Linked DNA regions of Xenopus tropicalis. The protein of the gene in region 2 interacts with the protein of the main gene of each other region in a biochemical or structural test. Links are inferred from orthologs where the notes say so. Each region holds a gene or a part of one and is shown on either strand. Other genes may lie near its edges.

Region 1 (10,507 bases), on a different chromosome or scaffold from region 2:
CCGTGGGATGTTCAAGGCTTTGGAAATCTTTTTGTAGCCTAAGCCTGCTTTAAATTTCTCAATAATTTTATCCCTGGCCTGTCTGGTGTGTTCTTTGGACTTCATGGTGTTGTTGCTCCCAATATTCTCTTAGACACCCTCTGAGGCCGTCACAGAGCAGCTGTATTTGTACTGACATTAGATTACACACAGGTGCACTCTATTTAGTCATTAGCACTCATCAGGCAATGTCTATGGGCAACTGACTGCACTCAGACCAAAGGGGGCTGAATAATTACGCATACCCCACTTTGCAGTTATTTATTAGTAAAAAATGTTTGGAATCATGTATGATTTTCGTTCCACTTCTCACATGTACACCACTTTGTATTGGTCTTTCACGTGGAATTCCAATAAAATTGATTCATGTTTGTGGCTGTAATGTGACAAAATGTGGAAAAGTTCAAGGGGGCCGAATACTTTTGCAAGCCACTGTAGCAAATAATTCACTCTGTCATTTAAAATGTTATTCTTGAACCAACAAATGTATTTTTAGTTGTAATATTGGTGTGTAGGTGCCATCTCAGTGCATTGTGCCTGAGTCTGAGCTTTCAGAAGGAGCCAGCGCTACACATTAGAACTGCTTTCAGGTAACCTATTGTTTCTCCTACTCCCATGTAACTGGAGGAGTCCCAGGCCGGACTTGGATTTCTTACTATTGCGTGCTATTCTGAAACCTACTGGGAGCTGCTATCTTGCTGCCTTACCATTGTTCTGCTGATTGGCTGCTGGGAAGGGAGGTGGGGGTGATATCACTCCAACTTGCAGCACAGCAGTAAAGTGTGACTGAAGTTTATCAGAGCACAAGTCACATGGCTGTGGCACCCTGGGAAATGAAGAATATGGCTAAATATAAAAAAATCTGTTTGTGTTTTTGAAAAACAGATTACAATGCAGGATTCTGCTGGAGAAGCTCTATTAACTGATTGGTTTTTAAAACGTGTTTCCTTTAAACAGATATCTGCCCAACTTATAGCCAAATATTGGTCAGGCAGGTCTTTGGAAGAGACCCACACATGGGCCAATACCTAACAAATCAGTCTGGAGGGTACACCTAGCAGGTTTTAGTTGCCTGTGCAGCCCAGCTTGAATCTGCTATAATTAACAACCCAGATAGAAATGTCATAAGTAATGTGGTTGTATCTAAGGTTGCTACCGGACCCCTTTAATACTGGCCACATATTAAATCTACATTCTGCAGGGCTAATTAGCAATTCTTTTAGTTGCATGTAAATCAGTTCAAACTGCAGCATGCATTTAAATTAATTACAAATTAGCCCTGCAGGATGTGGATTCTATATATATATTTTTGTAATCCTATTCGTAAGTTGTAATTAAAAATATTAGCCTAATTATTTAAATTGGCTCAGTTAGCTGCTTTCTGTGTATTTGCAAAATGTCAGTCTTGATGGCAGTCAGAAGCATTTGTAGGTACAGCACATTGGAATGTATTCTTATTCACATGCCAAGACACTGCAGCTGGGTACAAAGGACGGTGTTCAGGAAGAAATAGTATAAAACTGCAAAATGTACACATTTAGCCTGCTTCAACCTTATACTAACAGAACAGGTGGGCGGAACCTGAATCCCTAATATGCTTCTCTTCTCATTCCTCTGATGTCATATTCATTTTTCAGGGCTGGGGCTGATGAGAAATAATGGTTATTTTACATCTGAGGCAAAAGCCCTTCTGACGGGATAACTGTGTTTCAACCACATGGCCGTGCGTTGGCATCATTTAAATTTCCTAGGCCTTTATTATTGAGAAACAGGTAACACATATTGCTAGTGATATATTCAGGTAATACCACTGCTAAGCAGAGGGGCCTGAGTGGTTACTAAGTACAAATTAAAAATATGAAAGTGAATATTTTGTGTACAAAATAGGATCTATAATCCATAATGCCTGGGCTTTCCGAATTAGAAGTTTTTTTTTTGTGTAAAAAACTATCCCACAGCCACAGTGGCTATGGCTACTATAGGCACCATCTCTCCCTACTATACCTGCTATCCCACAGCCACAGTCCCTTCCCAGAGGCTATTATCCCCCACTGCTACTATAGGCACCATCTCTCCCTACTATATCTGCTATCCCACAGCCACAGTCCCTTCCTAGAGGCTATTATCACCCACTGCTACTATAGGCACCATCTCTCCCTACTATACCTGCTATCCCACAGCCACAGTCCCTTCCCAGAGGCTATTATCCCACTGCTACTATAGGCACCATCTCTCCCTACTATACCTGCTATCCCACAGCCACAGTCCCTTCCCAGAGGCTATTATCCCCCACTGCTACTATAGGCACCATCTCTCCCTACTATACCTGCTATCCCACAGCCACAGTCCCTTCCCAGAGGCTATTATCCCACTGCTACTATAGGCACCATCTCTCCCTACTATACCTGCTATCCCACAGCCACAGTCCCTTCCCAGAGGCTATTATCCCACTGCTACTATAGGCACCATCTCTCCCTACTATACCTGCTATCCCACAGCCCCAGTCCCTTCCCAGAGGCTATTATCCCCCCACTGCTACTAAAGGCACCATCTCTCCCTACTATACCTGCTATCCCACAGCCCCAGTCCCTTCCCAGAGGCTATTATCCCCCCACTGCTACTATAGGCACCATCTCTCCCTACTATACCTGCTATCCCACAGCCACAGTCCCTTCCCAGAGGCTATTATCCCCCCACTGCTACTATAGGCACCATCTCTCCCTACTATACCTGCTATCCCACAGCCACAGTCCCTTCCCAGAGGCTATTATCCCCCCACTGCTACTATAGGCACCATCTCTCCCTACTATACCTGCTATCCCACAGCCACAGTCCCTTCCTAGAGGCTATTATCCCCCACTGCTACTATAGGCACCATCTCTCCCTACTATACCTGCTATCCCACAGCCACAGTCCCTTCCCAGAGGCTATTATCCCACTGCTACTATAGGCACCATCTCTCCCTACTATACCTGCTATCCCACAGCCACAGTCCCTTCCCAGAGGCTATTATCCCCCCACTGCTACTAAAGGCACCATCTCTCCCTACTATACCTGCTATCCCACAGCCCCAGTCCCTTCCCAGAGGCTATTATCCCCCCACTGCTACTATAGGCACCATCTCTCCCTACTATACCTGCTATCCCACAGCCACAGTCCCTTCCCAGAGGCTATTATCCCCCCACTGCTACTATAGGCACCATCTCTCCCTACTATACCTGCTATCCCACAGCCACAGTCCCTTCCCAGAGGCTATTAACCCCCCACTGCTACTATAGGCACCATCTCTCCCTACTATACCTGCTATCCCACAGCCACAGTCCCTTCCCAGAGGCTATTATCCCCCACTGCTACTATAGGCACCATCTCTCCCTACTATACCTGCTATCCCACAGCCACAGTCCCTTCCCAGAGGCTATTATCCCCCCACTGCTACTATAGGCACCATCTCTCCCTACTATACCTGCTATCCCACAGCCACAGTCCCTTCCCAGAGGCTATTATCCCCCACTGCTACTATAGGCACCATCTCTCCCTACTATACCTGCTATCCCACAGCCACAGTCCCTTCCCAGAGGCTATTATCCCACTGCTACTATAGGCACCATCTCTCCCTACTATACCTGCTATCCCACAGCCCCAGTCCCTTCCCAGAGGCTATTATCCCACTGCTACTATAGGCACCATCTCTCCCTACTATACCTGCTATCCCACAGCCACAGTCCCTTCCCAGAGGCTATTATCCCCCACTGCTACTATAGGCACCATCTCTCCCTACTATACCTGCTATCCCACAGCCACAGTCCCTTCCCAGAGGCTATTATCCCCCCACTGCTACTATAGGCACCATCTCTCCCTACTAAAGCACAGACACAGGTGCCTCACAAAGGCTATTGTCGCTACTACTCTCAAAACCATGGCTGCCCCAACATATTGCGCGCTATGACATTTAGCACGGTCCCCGCAGTCGCCCCCCCGTCATTAACCCCCAAAGCGAGCCATATCCGCGAACATATAGATTGTAAGCTCTACGGGGCAGGGACCTCGTTCATCTTGTTTCTGACTCTTATTGCAACTGTACCTTGTATTTATTTGTATTTATTGTTGTACTTTGTATTTATCCATTATCTTTAACACCGTTTGTATTTATGTATTCTACTGTACAGCACTGCGTACATAAGTAGCGCTTTATAAATAAAGATATACATACATACACACACAACCAAGGACTATCAATAAATGCCCCAAACAACACTGCTCAATGCACTAACAAACAACTCCCCTCGCATACTAGAACCCCGCCCCTTTCTGAAGTAACACCACGGTACTATTTCAGCTAACTAACCCGGCCCCTCCCTCTGGGCGGAGCTAAAGTTCATCACGTGGGGCACGCATACACGTACGAGCTTTAGGCTAGAGAAATGATATTGATAATGTAATGAGAAGTACGTGTGCGAGTAAAGTCCCGCCGGTGTGTCGGTGTGTGGGGCAGTATGATGACCCTCACTGGGAGCTTGCCTATTGTTCCTAGGTTTGGGCAAGCTGAGTTGGCAGCCAACATGTTGGGGAGAGGGGGCGTGGCCTTGCCGATATAAATGGGGGAGGCGGCGAGTGGTGGAGGCTGGTGGCGGTGACGTCTGTAGCTGTGCGACCCGGGGGGCTCTGGTTCGGCTCAGTGAGGGCTGCAGGTAAATCTTGTTTGTGCGGCTTGCGGCTGTCTGTCTGCGTCCAACATTGCACGGGTAGGCAGCGATTGGGAGGGGATGCTGGGAGCAGTAGTCGGAGCTCTGCTAGCTTGGGCTGGCTGCATAAACGTTATAAGCCTGTGGGTTGTGCTCAGCCGGTTTGCACTCTTGAAACGTTTCAATGATTTTAAATTGATTTGTAAATTGCTTTTAAGGCTGTTGCTCTACTCTGCACTGCGGCTTCTGCCTGTATTACAGATTGGAAAGTTTTTGTTATTTTGTTTTTCTGCACAAAATTACTGGGTTTTGTTAGTTACCTGGGAGTTGAGGGATTTGCTCCTTTTTGCATGGCTTCTAATAACCAGGCTGTTGGCAATGCATGCTGGGACATTCATAGAGAGCAGGGTGCACATCTGGAACTTGCCATAGACAAAGGGTTAAAGTGGGGCTTTATGGCTCTCTGGCCTGTGGGTTTTCCAGGCCCCCTACACCTGTGCCTCCTGTGCCTAATGTCACTTGGAGTGTGCTAAGGAGGGACAATGTAGCAGGCCCTGGTGTCAAGAAACCGCCAGTACGCTCCATGTCTGTCCCCTTAGAAACCGCCAGTACGCTCCATGTCTGTCCCCTTAGAAACCGCCAGTACGCTCCATGTCTGTCCCCTTAGAAACCGCCAGTACGCTCCATGTCTGTCCCCTTAGAAACCGCCAGTACGCTCCATGTCTGTCCCCTTAGAAACCGCCAGTACGCTCCATGTCTGTCCCCTTAGAAACCGCCAGTACGCTCCATGTCTGTCCCCTTAGAAACCGCCAGTACGCTCCATGTCTGTCCCCTTAGAAACCGCCAGTACGCTCCATGTCTGTCCCCTTAGAAACCGCCAGTACGCTCCATGTCTGTCCCCTTAGAAACCGCCAGTACGCTCCTTGTCTGTCCCCCTTAGAAACCGCCAGTACGCTCCATGTCTGTCCCCTTAGAAACCGCCAGTACGCTCCATGTCTGTCCCCTTAGAAACCGCCAGTACGCTCCATGTCTGTCCCCTTAGAAACCGCCAGTACGCTCCATATCTGCAGACTGATGGTAATTGTATCCTTTCAGTGTGTGTGTTGGTAGGTGGGTGCCATTGCAGTTATTGTTTGCAACATTGGGTAGATAAGGGGATTATTATTTTCTCAGCAGGGGTGGCATTATTTTAATTCCTTGTTTGGAATATTTAAAAGGAAATCCAGTTTCTAAACCAAAATTTGTTAAAGAGCCCCACACAACAACAAAACTCTAATATACCTATCCCTGTAATCTGTTCCTTCCTAAAGTATGCATAAATACTATTTTTATATGCTGAAATCCAGCAGCAAAACCATTCATTTTTCTGCCTCATTTGAAATCCTGGCAGGGGAGGAGGGACTAAAACATGGATGTTTCAAATTGTAACAACTCGCAACTTACTGACCTCATGCATGAACTACATAACCCACAATGCATTGCACTGAGATTCCTTTCTTATTGACACCATGTGTGCAGGGGATTGTGGGAAATGCTTGTTTAGAACAATGCATAATCTATTTTGGTCTGTTGGGCACATTGTAGTTCATCTTTAAGTTAACTCTTGGTATCTTATAGAATGGGCTATTTATGTATACAGCACACAGGGCCATGTTTTCTATATAGGCACTCGAAGGCCCTTGTCTAGGGGTGTCCTTTGATGCCTATATATAAAAAAAAAAATTTTATTTTAAAATTTAAATATTTTCTTGGTTAAATCTGGCAGTGGAGCCGAGACAGAAGGGGGGGTAACCATCGCTCTTGAGGGTCAGGAAGGGGGTGGCTGAAGTCCGATTCCTAGGGCAGAGCTGGGCCCTTTTCTTCCAGAAAAGAAAGAAGAAAGCAGTAGGATTCCCAAAGCAATCATGTGCTACTTTGTAACCGCAATGAAAGTACATTAACCTTTTGACTGCCAGCCTTTGCAGATTCTTCTTGATTCCCAGTGGTTTGATAAAAGTTGGTACTTCAGTAGATTCTACAGCATTGACTTGCAAAGTGACGGGCTTTTAGGGACACAAACACTATTGCAGTGCTACCCATGTAACTTCCATGCAGCCAGCATTTTTATTGAGGAATCTCATACAAAGGATAGCCTGTGACTCATTAAGTCCAGCATTTATCTATCATTATGGAGTAACTTGCCTGTAAAATTTCATAACACAATGTAGATGTGACTGAATCTTTCCCTGTACCCACCTGCTTGTAAGTGTGTTAAAGGGATTATGTCATGATTTTTATGGTATTAGTTTTTATGGTAGGATAGTCTTTATTACTAAATTACACTGTGTACATTGCAAATAATTCACTCTACCATTTAAAATGTTATTCTTTAACCAATCTTTTTTTTTTTTTTTTTTTTAAGCTGTAATATTAGTGTAGGCAGCCATCTCAGTGCACTGCAATAGCAAAACCGTACTTGGGTTTCTCCTGCTTGGGTGCTATTCTCCTGTCTACCACTAGGTGAGGCATGGGAGCATATTCAGCAATGCAAATGATTTCTGAATACATTTTGATTATACAGTGCTTAATCTGTGGGCGGAAAAATATGGCAATCTCTCTCCAGATTATCCTTATAGGCAGGGGTCCCCAACCTTACAACAAAAGCACACAAGTTTCTGGGGTGCCAATTATAGGCTGTGATTAGCTATTGGTAGCCCCTACATGGTCTGGCAGCAGGAGGTTCTGTTGGGCAATTACACTGGGTTTTTATGCAGTCAAAGCTTGCCGCTAACCTCTTATTCAAAAATAAGCACCTGCTTTGAGACCCTTGGGAGCAACATCCAATGGTATGGTGCGTAACATGTTGCTCACATCCCACTGGTTGGGGATCACTGCCCTGAGAGTAACAAGGGAAAAGCCAGGGTCACCAAAAATAATTTTGTCTAATAAAAGAAAACTTAATATTAAGCAACTTTGCAATATACATTCATTACAAATTTGTAATGGCTTTTAATCTTTGTGATTATATTACTGCTATTAAAAGTAATGTTTGTCCTTTTCTCTGAGTTTGGAAACAATGTAACACAAACCAACAGACTGACAGACTTCTCTGGCTAGAGGAGACTACCCTTTGCAACATTGTTTAAAAAGTAAAAACCAGGAGTTCAGCAAATGCTGCCTTCAATAGCAATTACATAGCAATTTCTAAATACAGTTTAAATTACTAAACATTTTTAATAAATTCATATTGGAAAACTGCTTAGAATTTTCTTTTATTGGCAAAAATTATTTTTTGGATTGACATCCTTTAAAACGGGGTCGAACCAAACCCACAAACTTATGGATTCAGCCGGATACCAAATCATTCTTTAATATGCATATTACATACATATTGTCGCATTTGATAGTCTAAAACTGTAAAGTCACATGACCTAAAGTCCTTTCACTCCTACTTCTGCCAGTCATATATAATTGGCTTAGGGGGTGGGGGGACAGGTGCTGCCCTAAAGGTAAGTCATCAATTCCCACAAGCATTTTAGTTGTCAAATGTCCCTTTATAAATTCAACAGTAGGATTATTTTATCCTTCCGTCCATTGGACTAACTGATTTCTACCCTTTGTTCCATGAATAGGGTTAGACACATCTCACCAACATGACTGACATGGCTGACAATCACCAGGAGGCTTGGGAGGTGTTGGTTAATGCTGCAGAAAAATACCGCAGACTGACTGGAAATGATATAGTGCTAATAACTGCTTACAAACCCAAACTGCTTTCCTCCTTCGAATATTCTATTCACGGGAGTGGGATGCTCTTGGAGGCCACTCAACGCTACCTTGATGACATTTCTGTAGTGCACAAAACCACTGCCTTTACCAGCCCTATGCCCATCTACACAACAAATGAGACCTCATCGGGCAGACAGAACTCATACTCAAAGAGCTACCCTTCTATTTACGGCCGAGAAGGGTTTTCTTCAGTTGAGGACAATGACAAGCCCATTCCCATAATCCAAAACCAAATGCCAGACATTATGTCCAAACTAGAGGCCCAAGAAGATGAAGAGGACTATGACTACAACAAGCATTTGGAAAAGGCTGGGGAACATATTCCTAGTGACTCGACAGGTAAGAAGGATACTCTGGTTTTTATTTGGAATGTAGAGCCACGACACCTAACTCTGCATATCGCTATTTGTGGCACTGTGCTTCAGTGGTTCGCTCTTGGGCCTTGCTGTGCTGAAACCCTTAGTTCAGTTCTAGACTTGGCAGGAAATCTATTTAGTTTTAAACTACTTACTATGGAGGTAGACTTACCCTAAAGGTATGCATCAGAGCAGGCCCGGCTTGGCAATCTGGGATTTCTGGCAAATGCCAGAGGGGCAGCCATAGATGGTCACTATTTATTGGACTGGTCGGGGGGCTGCTGGTCTTCATTATAGTTATAGTTTGAATTATGTGCCGCCACCTTCCAACTCTGCAGTTTTTAAATGGGGGGGGGGGGGGGTCTTCTACCCCCCCCTCTACTTTATACTTTTACCCCTGCAATCGCTAAAATATATTTTGGACTTTTGAGGATGGTTGCCGTTATTGGCTGAAATTGTATCATGCAACAATTCAGAATTAATCCTGCTGTGCAGTCCTGCAGGAGGTGTGAGGCTCCCCTTGCTTGATACACTGGTGTCACACTAACACTGTTTTTACCCAACTCTGTGCTGTAGGACTGATGCAACTTACTACAGGTCTACCAATTTCTATATAGCTTTTATGAGACCAGCGGCGTACACAATTCAGTGCTGTCTCAGACCCACAGTGTTAAATAAACTGCATGTGTAGTACAATACTTCTGCAAAGGGTTTTTGTACTGTGCATGGGGCAAGCCTGAACTCACGGGGGAATCCTGGGAAAAGATGGCAGCAACCTGCTCTGGTTGGAAGTACCCCTAGGCATTTACAGTGCACGTTTTTGAATAGGAGGAGAATGGAACCAGGGTATGGCAAACCTATTTGTACCCTCCCCCAGTGATTCTCTTAGTTCATTTGAAACCTGTCCCCAACCTAAGGGTTGGGGATGGATGGGTCCCTTCAAGGCACCTTTATTGTCCCAAGGCTCCTAACTGTGCTACATGTTATAGCAGTCTACATTGATCATTATAATGGCAAAAAGCCTCCCCAGGTATAGAGACCAATACTGCCAGAACCATCCCTGTGTGTGTGTGTGTACTTCACTTACATTATATAAATGATATAAACCTTGTTTCCTTTACTCTTGGAACTACACAATCACAGCAAGCAGGCAGCTGCCATTTTGTGGACACTGTTAAGGCAAGCTTTGTATCACCCCAAAATCTTGTGTATGTGCCAGAATGGGGGACCTGATGCCCATGCTCATGCTTTGGCTACACATTTTGATGGTGAAGAGGGAGGGGGATGTGAGTGCTGAATGGAAAGTTAGTGACTGTCTGCGCCACCTCTGTGCCTAATGCATAGAGGCAGGGTAGGCAATATGATTGACAGCATGGATTTTTAAATGCCCTTATAATGGGTTTGGATGTGTTTAATATAAAAATGAATTTGGGGTTCGTGTTTAATTTTGGAAAGGACTATACATTGTTGTTGGGGGGAAAAAGTAGGCAGTACAGGGAGCATTTTGGTTTTTCATGAAGCTGATCTATTAGGGCTGCTGTGCTGCCTTCATGCTTATTATACATTTATAAAACAGGACGTAAAACAGGATTTTTTAGTTCCCCTTTAAAAAAAAAAAAAAAGTATAGGGTCTTTTGTAGACTTTGCAATTGCCCAAACTTG
Region 2 (10,487 bases):
TGGAAAACCCAGCAGGCTTGTCTCTTTATGCGTTACCCTGACCTTATATCTCAGCCCTCCCTTTTAGAATGTAAGCTCTTGCGAGCAGGGCCCTCCCCCTAGTGTCTCCAATCCTCATCCAATGTAACTGCAAACCATTTTTGTGAATTGTTTATATGTACATGTTAACTGTTCTGTCTTTTGTATTCTGTAAAGCGCTGTGTAAATTGATGGCGCTATATAAATAATAATAATAATAATTATGACTTGGATGACAGAAGATGACTTACACTTACACATTGTCTTTTTGTATTCTGTAAAGCGCTGTGTAAATTGATGGCGCTATATAAATAATAATAATAATAATTATGACTTGGATGACAGAAGATGACTTACACAGGCAGATCTGCTCATTTGGGAAGGTTTAGAAATGGGTGGATCTTTGCTCAGTTTGCCTACCCAAGTGGTGGGCAATTTTGGCCTGATCCGCCTGTTTGGCCCTGTACTTGTGATGTGATCACAAATGGAGCCTATGCAGCAGATCTGTTGGCAGAGGATAACATTTACAGCTCCAAGCGTTTTGTATATTCACATGGGAGTTTTATAATTTTGTATTTTACAATTTAAAAAACTTAAGGCACTAAACCACTAGGCAAGTGCCCATGTGAATAATGTATAATAAATATGACACTATATAATTTAATGTTTATGATACCAGATTTACAGTAAACTTACAATATAATCATAATGTAATCTCCTGACTAACAGTAAACTGCCCAACATATTCTGATTTGTTACATTTCTGTGTGATTATTATTGTAGGATAATATCCCTTTAAAGATGTACTTTTGCAGAATTTGTGGATGATTACTTGTGTGTGCTGGGTAAAATCAAGACAAATGAGTGTTTAAAGAGGCTTATGAGGCATCCCTCTCTCCCCTTGTATGTGATAGAATGTCAGCTGATGAAGACAGAACGACCAAAACCAAACACATTTATCATTCGGTGCCTCCAGTGGACCACAGTAATTGAAAGAACATTTCATGTGGATTCTCCTGAGGAGCGGTATGTTCTACTCATATTGCCATTCAAACACGGCTGTGCATATTTAATACTGCCCGTTAATCCAGCTGTTGTGAAATACATCATTTCTCTGGAAAGGAACAGTGTAGCTGTGTCCTTTGTTGCTCAGATCTGCAACACACAGCAAAGTTGGACTTTTCAACATTTAACTCTGAGCTGCCCCTGCTGCCATGAGGGGAGTTGAAAAACTCGCCTCAGGCGCCAGCATCCCCAAAGTTACCAGGGGCGGCAAAAAAGAGCTTAATTTCAAGTTTTTAAATGGCGGCAGCATCTCAGGGCAGCTCCATTAGATCGATTGAAAATTCAGGGACATTTCTAATAAATAACTGATTGCATTTAAATTAAACTAAAATCAGTTCAACCCTGCTAGCTTGATTTTCTAGTCATGTCCCTAAATATTTAAGTGGTCTGGTCACCCTGCTCTAGGCGTCCTTCAGAGATGCCCCTCTGGGGGTCCCCCTCTGTCTCTTGGTTGGTATGTATTGTGGCACTGCATGTTGGCTCATCCCTTTTGCCAGTACCCCCAGGAATGTGTACATATACAGAACACAGGAATAATAAATCAAGACCTAGTTTATTTCTGAGTTCCTCACCATTCTTGTTGATAGGGATGAATGATATCAATTGAATGAATTGAAATAGTTGGTATTTTGGGAAGAAAGATAAAAAAATATAGGAAGACCAGTATTTTATTCCAGTAAAGGGGTAAGACTATCTACAACAAATGTACAAGTGAATTGTGTCAGTTACCTGTTCCTCAGTGGGTATCTGGCACAGTTATTTTAATTGGGGACTGTGGCTTGGCACAATGTTGTAATAAACAAACATACTACCTGACTATTCAAAAAAGGAGAAGACTTGCACAACTATGCTATGGCACAGTGATGTGAAGATGATCAACATTTCACAAAATGCATTAAAGTCAATAGTTGTCAGCATTTCTTTCCAGCTCAAAAAGAATGTGTTTTTTTTTTTTTTTTTTTAAATCAACAAAACAAAATGCATGAAGATGTGGCAATTTGATGTTGGACACACTGACCAAAGCAGATGAACATGCCAGTGTTATTAGAGCACATGGAATGAAAAAAGCAAATGTGACAAAATCACTAATGTTATATTCTTACTGAGCAGTAGGGTTATAATTGTTTTGTTAAAAAAAAAAAAAAAAACCACTGATACATAATAAATATGCTCCTATGGGTCAGATGGGATGGAAGTATAAGCGTATGATCAGGATAAACGCATTTCAAAGTATGAGTTCTCCTTCCTTGAACATCACATCAGACTCACTGGCTTATTTACCAACATGGGGAAGTGACCTATGCCAACTATTCAGTATTTTACTTTAATTATTCTACCTGCAGCTGTCAAGGTAAAGGTAAACAACGGTGTTACTGTCCATATGTTGGTCAATAAGCCCCACTCTACTCACACTTCTCCAGCAATGCATGTGTATTTTTTCATTGTTTCATTGAAGGGAAGAATGGATTCAGGTTATACAACATGTAGCCGACAACCTTAAGAAACAGGAAGAAGAAATGATGGAGGTTCGGTCTGGCGACTCCCCAAGCGATAACTCTGGAGCCGAGGAAATGGAAGTTTCTCATTCGAAACCAAAACATAAAGTAGTAAGTGTCATTTTAATGTAAAATGTACAGGTTTGTAAGTAAGGGCTTTTTTATTAAATGGCACTATATTTATCAACAATGGAGCCAGACAAGTTATCCTAGTAACTCCGCTGTCTTTCAGTGGCCCCACCAAGCACAGAATTCCCTATCCAAATGTGACTAATATTGTATGCAAGGATGTCATACAGCTATAAAACTGATGGTTATATTATGTTATTAGATCAGTAAATTGGCCTTGCTTTATCTGAATTGGTACCATTTAACAGAGTGTTGAATTACAAATACATTTATTTAATCTCAACAGACAATGAATGAATTTGAGTATCTCAAGCTTTTGGGGAAAGGAACATTTGGGAAAGTTATTTTAGTCAAAGAGAAAGCAACAGGAAGATATTACGCTATGAAAATTTTAAAAAAAGAAGTTATTGTTGCAAAGGTAAGTGACCCGGAATTTCTCCAGGAATTCCCTCTCTCTCCCCGGAATGGTTATAGCATTCACTTTCTTGTATCAGCTCTTATTCTCATTCCTCGAGACAGTGCTTGTCTTTGATCTTTCATTCATTTATTTATTTATTTTTAAATAAAAAAAAATGTTTGAGGTATGCAGTGTCCATGGCAAATTCAGTAGCAGGACACCACTAAATTGAAGCAACATGGATATATTATTTTATGAAGATAAAACACACTTGTTATATAAGAGTGGCTGCTTGCCTAATGAATTGATAAATTCCAGTCCACCAGTCAGCAGCTTGGTGAAATCTGCTCTAGAATGAGTATTCTGTACCTTAAATGTTTCTTTTTTTCAGGATGAAGTAGCTCACACGCTAACAGAAAACCGCGTCCTGCAGAATTCTAGGCATCCCTTCCTAACAGTAAGTTTTAAATAGAAACATTGTGTTTTTTGCATTAATAATAAAGTTACCATGGAAAATGTATGTAAATATCTTGTAAGTTGGTTTCATAAGATACCACCATAATTATGGGTGTGTTTTATGGCTATTTGATAGCCCTGGATAAGAACTAGAACCATTGTATTTAATTGAGCTCATTTGTTAACTACTATATAGCCTATAGCCCAATTTCAACTTGAATGGTTGCCCCCATAGCTACACAGCAGCTTTTAAAGGAGAAGGAAAGACTAAGTCACTGGGGGGTGCCAAAATGTAAGCCACCCCCAGAGACTTTAATTGCTTACCTTTTACCCTGGGCTAGTGCTCCTGTGAGAAGAAGGAGTGTTTCCTTCCTTCTTCTGTCTTTGCGCCGGCCCCAGGATTCAGAAGAAAGAAGTAAGAGGAAACACTTGCTGCAGCTTCCCTGGGCTTATGTGGCTTCTCCTAATAGGAGCACCAGCCCGGGGTAAAAGGTAAGCGATTAAAGTTAAAAGGTAAGCAAGTAAGATTTTTACCTTTCGACTGCAGCCACAACAACTGCAGTCCTTGTAGACATAAAAATGAATGCTGTTTACTAATAATTTGTTTTTCTGGCCTATGGAGAAACCAGTATGGAAGCTGTAACAGATTATCCATAATTTTTAAAACAGCATCCTACATTTAACTTGCTGCTATTGCTGTGGCAATATAGTAAATATGTATTATATTTTAATGTTTTCAGTCCGTTCCTCTGAATTTATTGTTCCTTTAATGGCTGACCCTGAGGCTTTCCCCTCTGTGATATCTCATGGGTATGATGGGTGTTGGGCTTGCGTAGTGCAGCTTTTGCAGGGTCAGTTTGTTTAATTTGGCACCAATTTATAAAGTTCAGAAGACGGTTGGTTACTCAACTTTAATTTCTTGTAGGCACTGAAATATTCCTTTCAGACACATGATCGCTTATGTTTTGTCATGGAGTATGCCAATGGAGGAGAGGTTAGTACTGAGTAAATCTATCTTTCTATTGCCATTTCTATTATTTCCTACTCTGCACTGAAGTTGGTGCATTGGGGGAATCGTCTGATATGTGCTGATACTGGGCCATTTTTCATATGAGGCAAAAGAAGGTCAGTTTTGGTGCACAAAGCCGCCAAGGGGTTTTGTACTGGGAAGTGCAGCAGATCAGCTCAGAGCTGCAGTTATCGCCAGAAACCATAATGGCGAACATTTTTGGGTAATGTTTACTCAAGCAGGGCTATGCTTCATATTGATGTTGATGGTAAGTGACTCACAGAGGGGAGCGGGTATTTTCATTACATCAGCATGAAGTTCACCCCCTATGTGCCATAGATTTGACAGTAATATAAATGTGTTATTATATTATTATTATATTGTATATTATTAACCACCATCCTGCCGGTGCTATAAAACAGAAAGCCAATCAATAATCATGTTGTACATGTATTTAATCCACTGCTATAAAACTGCAGTGCTGTCTTTTTCTCCCCCTCCTTTATTTCTTCATATTTTTATGGTACAGACTAAGAAACTGCCCCTTCACCCCTATCTGCGCTATGGTTTGTCTGCAACTAGAGACACTGCACCCAGATCAGCTCTGTGTGTCTGTACCCAGGCGAGGCAGTGTCTCTGGGTGCAGACACCCCATAGATCAGATCGGAGAGGAGGGATAGTTTATCGGCCTGTGCTTATACACAGGCCAAGAAACTGCTCCGTGTTGCCCTGAACCGACTGCACCTATTCCAGTCGTTATAATTCGATCGTTTGGCCCCAGTAAATCACCAGTGGAAAGGCATATGCGTTGCATAGGTTTACTGAAATTGGCCAAAGTTTCCTTGTGAGGGAATGTTGGCAACTTAAAGGAACAGTAACACCAAAAAAATAAAGTGTATACAAGTAATAGCAATATAATGTACTGTTGCCCTCCATTGCTACAACTGGTGTGTTTGCCTCAGAAAGACTACTATAGTTTATATAAGTAAGCTGCTGTGTAGCCATGGGGGCAGCCATTCAAAGGAGAAAAGGCACAGGTTACTTAGCAGATAACAGATAAACCCCCATTATATGGGGCTTATCTACTAGTTATCTGCTATGTAAACTGTGCCTTTTTTCCAGCTTGAATGGCTGCCCCCATGGCTACACAGCAGCTTATTTATATAGTAGCTTTTCTGTAGCAAAAACACCAGTTTTTTGCAGAGCAACAGCACATTATATTTTAATTACTTTAAAACACTTTAATTTTTTGATGTTACTGTTCCTTTAATGATCTGTATGCCTTCCCACCAGCGATTCATATTATTGCTGGTGGAAAGGCATTTCAGAGAGATTAGTCTTCCATGGTATTGAGGATTTTTCATGGGCTCACTGTGGGCATCTCTAATCTCACTGTGGGTCATAGGGCCTTAGGTCTCGGATACCAAACACCCCCAGAGCACACGTTTGTGCTTGTAAATCATATGTTCCAATAGACTCCTACAAATGTTAACAGTACTTCAGCCTATCAGATCCTCATGCTGCCCACAGTACAATGGGACAAGAATACTCTGTGTTTAAAATTAACAGAGGAAAAGGGTTAATTTATTAGAAGATTCAATAGTTTTCTTTTTTCTCTAGTTATTCTTCCACTTATCAAGAGAACGTATATTCTCTGAAGATCGTGCCCGGTTTTATGGGGCAGAGATTGTTTCTGCTTTAGATTATCTTCATTCTGAGAAAAATGTAGTTTACAGAGACTTAAAGGTAAGTGTGCTCAGTGCTTATGAGTTGTTGAAGCTTTTTACCCTTTCATATTAACACACAAATTAATAAGGACAAAGCCATTGCTAAATCTTCAGGTCCCTGGCTATGTCAAAAGACCATCCATTAATTGGCATACAGGTAATTGGATGGAGTGTTGGCAAAATGAGAGGTATGAGTAAAACCAGAGGGCTTTTTGGGAAGCTTTAACTACTACATTTTTTAGTAGCTAAAAAACGTCCAAACGCCCTCCTATAGTCTAGCATTGCAGTCACTTACCATATATATGTATATATGCATGGCTTGTTCCCATGCTTCCAAGCAAAAAAAAAAAAAAAAAAGCTTGTTCCCATGCTTGTCATGTGATTGCGTAGTCACTTTCTGGTTCTAGCACTGGGGTCCTAGGTTTGATTCTAGTCAGGGCACTATCCTCAAGTTAGTTTGTATGTTCACCCCATGTATGTGTGTGGCTATCCAAGGTGGGGTGCTCAGATTTCTTAGCACTATCCAAAAACATACAGAAAGGTTAACTGGCTTCTCATAATATTGCCCAGTGTGTGTGAATGTGTGGTTGAGGCAGGCACTGATGTGAATGATGTTTAAATGTTGCTGTGGTGCATTATAAAAAAAATAAATCATAATAATATAAAGCAAACATTTAAAGATTTAAAGTTTGGTTTATTTATGCAGGCAAAACTAAAACCTTTTAAACTTATTTCCCTTTTAAGAATGACCTCTATTCTTTGCCTTGGCAAGTAACGCAGCATCTGCAGCCAATGTTTTCTGCTTGTGATGAGTGAGTGTTTTCACAACAGCGTGTAACTGTTGGTAACTGCTGCAGGGATCGCTTGCTTTACCTGTTACACACTAGCAATAAAACACTTCCTCTTCACATTTTCAGCAGTTTGATGTGGCCAAAAGAACATGCTCCTTTGTGTATTGACAATCTCCATGAAACCATACCGGCTGGGTTATCTAAGGCTAGATGTACTAGACAGATGCAAGATAAGAGAGTGGGAAGAAGAAACATCTGCTTGTGTTCAGAATGCAAATGCAGCCTCTTAAGGTGGCCATACACCGTAAGATTTGCTTGTTTGGTGAGGTTGCCAAACAAGCAAATCATTCCCCTGTTATGCCCTTGGGGGGGCAATATTGTGCCAGTGCCCTAGGGCCAAACCATCACATTGCAATGAAGGGGATAGGAAAAGTCGGAGCAAGGACTGCAATGAGCCGATGCAGTCCCTGATCTGATGAAAAATTAAGCATGTCTGATCAACATCTGTCCAGTTTTTGCCCAGATATTGGTCGGAGGGCCCCATACATGGGCAGATAAGCTGCCGACTCGGTCTTAAGGACCCAAATTGGCAGCTGAAATCTGCCCATGTATGGCCACCCTTAGTCCTGTTCTGTCTGTAAAGCAACTGGTTTCTTTGCTGTTATTTTTTAAAGTTGGAAAATCTAATGCTGGACAAAGATGGACACATAAAGATAACTGATTTTGGCCTGTGCAAGGAAGGAATAAAAGACGGAGCAACCATGAAGACGTTCTGTGGCACACCAGAATATCTCGCTCCTGAGGTATGTAACTGTTTGTTGTTTATACGCTTCTTTTTTTATATGGGGTTTATTGTGAACCAACCATCATACAGTCTGCATTGCTGGGGTAGGCTGTATACATGGGAAAAGGTGTTGATATGGACTAATGTCATTGGAGATATAAGTGGAGGTAAGGCCAAAAAAGAGAGATTAGCAGCAGATATTAACTAAAACATATCAAGATATTCTGTATTTTGTTGTCTTGTAGTTCCCCAGTTCAGTTGTTTGTTCCCTTCAACCTATCCGTATCCTTCTAGTTTAAACCCTATGACTTAGTCTGCCTTCAGGGCACAGACACACAATTCAGTGGTCTGGTCTTAAGCTACAAGCAAAGTGATCCTTGTTATAACCGTTCTTAGGGCCACTGTACTGCTTCCCAGGTACAGCTGTCCAATGGCTCCTATTCCTCTTATACCACTATTTCCTTACATGCATTGGATGAACTTATAATACATAGGGCAGCAATTTCTGTGAAAGAAAGGGACTTTTTTTTGCTGCAGTCCCAAAATGCAACCAGATATACCCACAACTCTGACCCACTTTCAGCACACCCAAGCATCTCATTTGGGTGCAGTGCCACTTGTAATAGCTTTGCTGAAAACTATAGCTTATAATTCAGTTTAAAAATGAAACTGGGTAAAATAGATAGGCTGAGCAAAATAAAATATATTTATTTTATAGTTAGTTAGGCAAAAATGTAATCTATAAAGGCTGGAGCGAGCCAATGTCTAACATAATAGCCACAACACAACTTTCTGATTTCAGCTCTCTAACCTCTTAGTTAGTCCACAACTTCAGGGGGAAGCACATGAGACATAACTGTTCAGTTAGTTTGTGAGCGCGCAGGACCATTATGTTTGACATCTGTCCATGCCAACCTTTATTTTATTTTGCACAGTCTATCTATTTTACCCAGTTTCATTTTTACACTGAACTATTCATTTAAGGCTGCAAAAGAATACTTACATTGTCTGATTTGTGTTGCAGACAAAAGTAATAGATGTTTAAAAGGGGAATACATTTGGTTCCCTTTAAAAATGACACCCCTTGAACACCATGTAAGTTTGGAATGCAGACATAGATATTTGAGATTTGATTGCTGTATTAAATGAATGGTAAAAATATAATAATGTTTGGTTCCAGATACAAATGCTTGCTTACTTCCAGACCTGCTGTATAAAGCTTAAGACATTTTGTGCAAGTGTGATACAACATTATATAATAGTAAACCCTATTAAAGTAACAACATCTGTGTTGTTATGTGTTTGTGTGTGTGTAATTGAAAAGCAGGAAAGTATAACTGCTGGCTTCTAATTGCAGATTTGCAGGTAGCAAGATTAGGGTATAATTGCTTAGGTTCCCTAAGATTTAGCATTTTTACTCATACTCTCCTCCCAATGTGCAAAGCTTAGCAACAGAGATGCAGCTTGCCCCTCAACAGAGAATTTTTGCAATGTTCTTAGAGTGTTTACATTCTGCAAGAAAGTTTTGCATCTAATAGCAACCTGAGATTATCGTAAGTCAAAACAGAAGTGAATTTTCAATGGTTACATCTCTTTTGGTAGTAATGATTTTGTCCCCAAAAACAAATTGCCTATGGTGAGTCATAGGTCTTCTGAGCAAAATGCTTAGTGTGACATTGTCCAAATTCTAGCAGTAAAATCAGAGCTTGTCGTGAATAACCCCTAAACTTCATCATTCAAACATAATAACCAGGAATCCTAGTGGGGTAGGTGCTCACAGAAACCCATAACCAGGCCAGTAAAGGAAAATAACACTTTATTACAGAAATATATTCGCAACAAGCCTTACAATCTTCGTACCCCCTAGGCTCTATGATAATCTTGTGGCATGACACACATAAGGCTTGTGGCAAACAGATTCCGGTAATAAAGCCTATTTTGCTTTAATGGCCTGGTCATGGGTTTCTGTTAGTGACTACCCCCCATGGCTTCCATATCCTTAATTCTGCCTAATGTGTATGCTGTCAAGATGTGCATTGCAGAGAGATAGGGACATTAAAAGGCACTACCTTGTATATAAGTGCTGCATGCAAAACCAGAGACCCACTATTACAGAGGAACAAAGACAGTGCTAACTGGTGAAGTAAAAAATTAATTGCATGCTGCTATTGCTGTGGCTGTGAAACTGTGGTTTTCAGTCTTATTTTTGGTTTGTGCATCCCCATTGGCCCCCCCATAGCTCATAACTGGGTTATAGATAGATGATATAGATGAAATATTGCAGTATGAGCCAGCCATAAAGCAAGATTTCCAAGAATACATAGGACAGCAAATAAGTAATCACTCCAGCTATCATCCAAAATTACCTTCACAGCGGGATTCCAGGAGTATCTAGGACATCCAGTTGGCATTCTCCCCAAATCTTACACTATCTGGCCTTCAGGCTAGGGCCTCCAGGTGCCCCAGATTGGGAATTAAAGTTTGAGACATACATACCTCAAAACATCAATGTAAGTCTAAAATAGTACATACATTTTTTTTAGGAAACTGGCTTTGTATTTAAAGCAACCCATGTGAATGCTGTAAGTAAAAGCATTGATTTGGCTTGTTAGTTA

The links. The genes of interacting proteins can lie anywhere in the genome.
Region 1: of the proteins of akt1 (region 2) and akt1s1, one has a biochemical effect on the other in vitro, tested with the Homo sapiens proteins (2 studies listed by BioGRID). The link is inferred for Xenopus tropicalis from reciprocal best matches to the Homo sapiens genes AKT1 and AKT1S1.

Annotation. Positions count from the first base shown.
Region 1 is NC_030683.2:111,139,713-111,150,219, reverse strand, and holds the start of akt1s1 (proline-rich AKT1 substrate 1), read left to right. Parts: upstream 1-4,668; 5' UTR 4,669-4,727; intron 4,728-8,332; 5' UTR 8,333-8,353; coding exon 8,354-8,828; intron 8,829-10,507. UniProt on the Homo sapiens protein: Negative regulator of the mechanistic target of rapamycin complex 1 (mTORC1), an evolutionarily conserved central nutrient sensor that stimulates anabolic reactions and macromolecule biosynthesis to promote cellular biomass generation and growth.
Region 2 is NC_030684.2:99,685,342-99,695,828, reverse strand, and holds part of akt1 (RAC-alpha serine/threonine-protein kinase), read left to right. Parts: intron 1-932; coding exon 933-1,044; intron 1,045-2,539; coding exon 2,540-2,690; intron 2,691-2,994; coding exon 2,995-3,126; intron 3,127-3,496; coding exon 3,497-3,562; intron 3,563-4,486; coding exon 4,487-4,555; intron 4,556-6,190; coding exon 6,191-6,316; intron 6,317-7,762; coding exon 7,763-7,891; intron 7,892-10,487. UniProt on the Homo sapiens protein: AKT1 is one of 3 closely related serine/threonine-protein kinases (AKT1, AKT2 and AKT3) called the AKT kinase, and which regulate many processes including metabolism, proliferation, cell survival, growth and angiogenesis.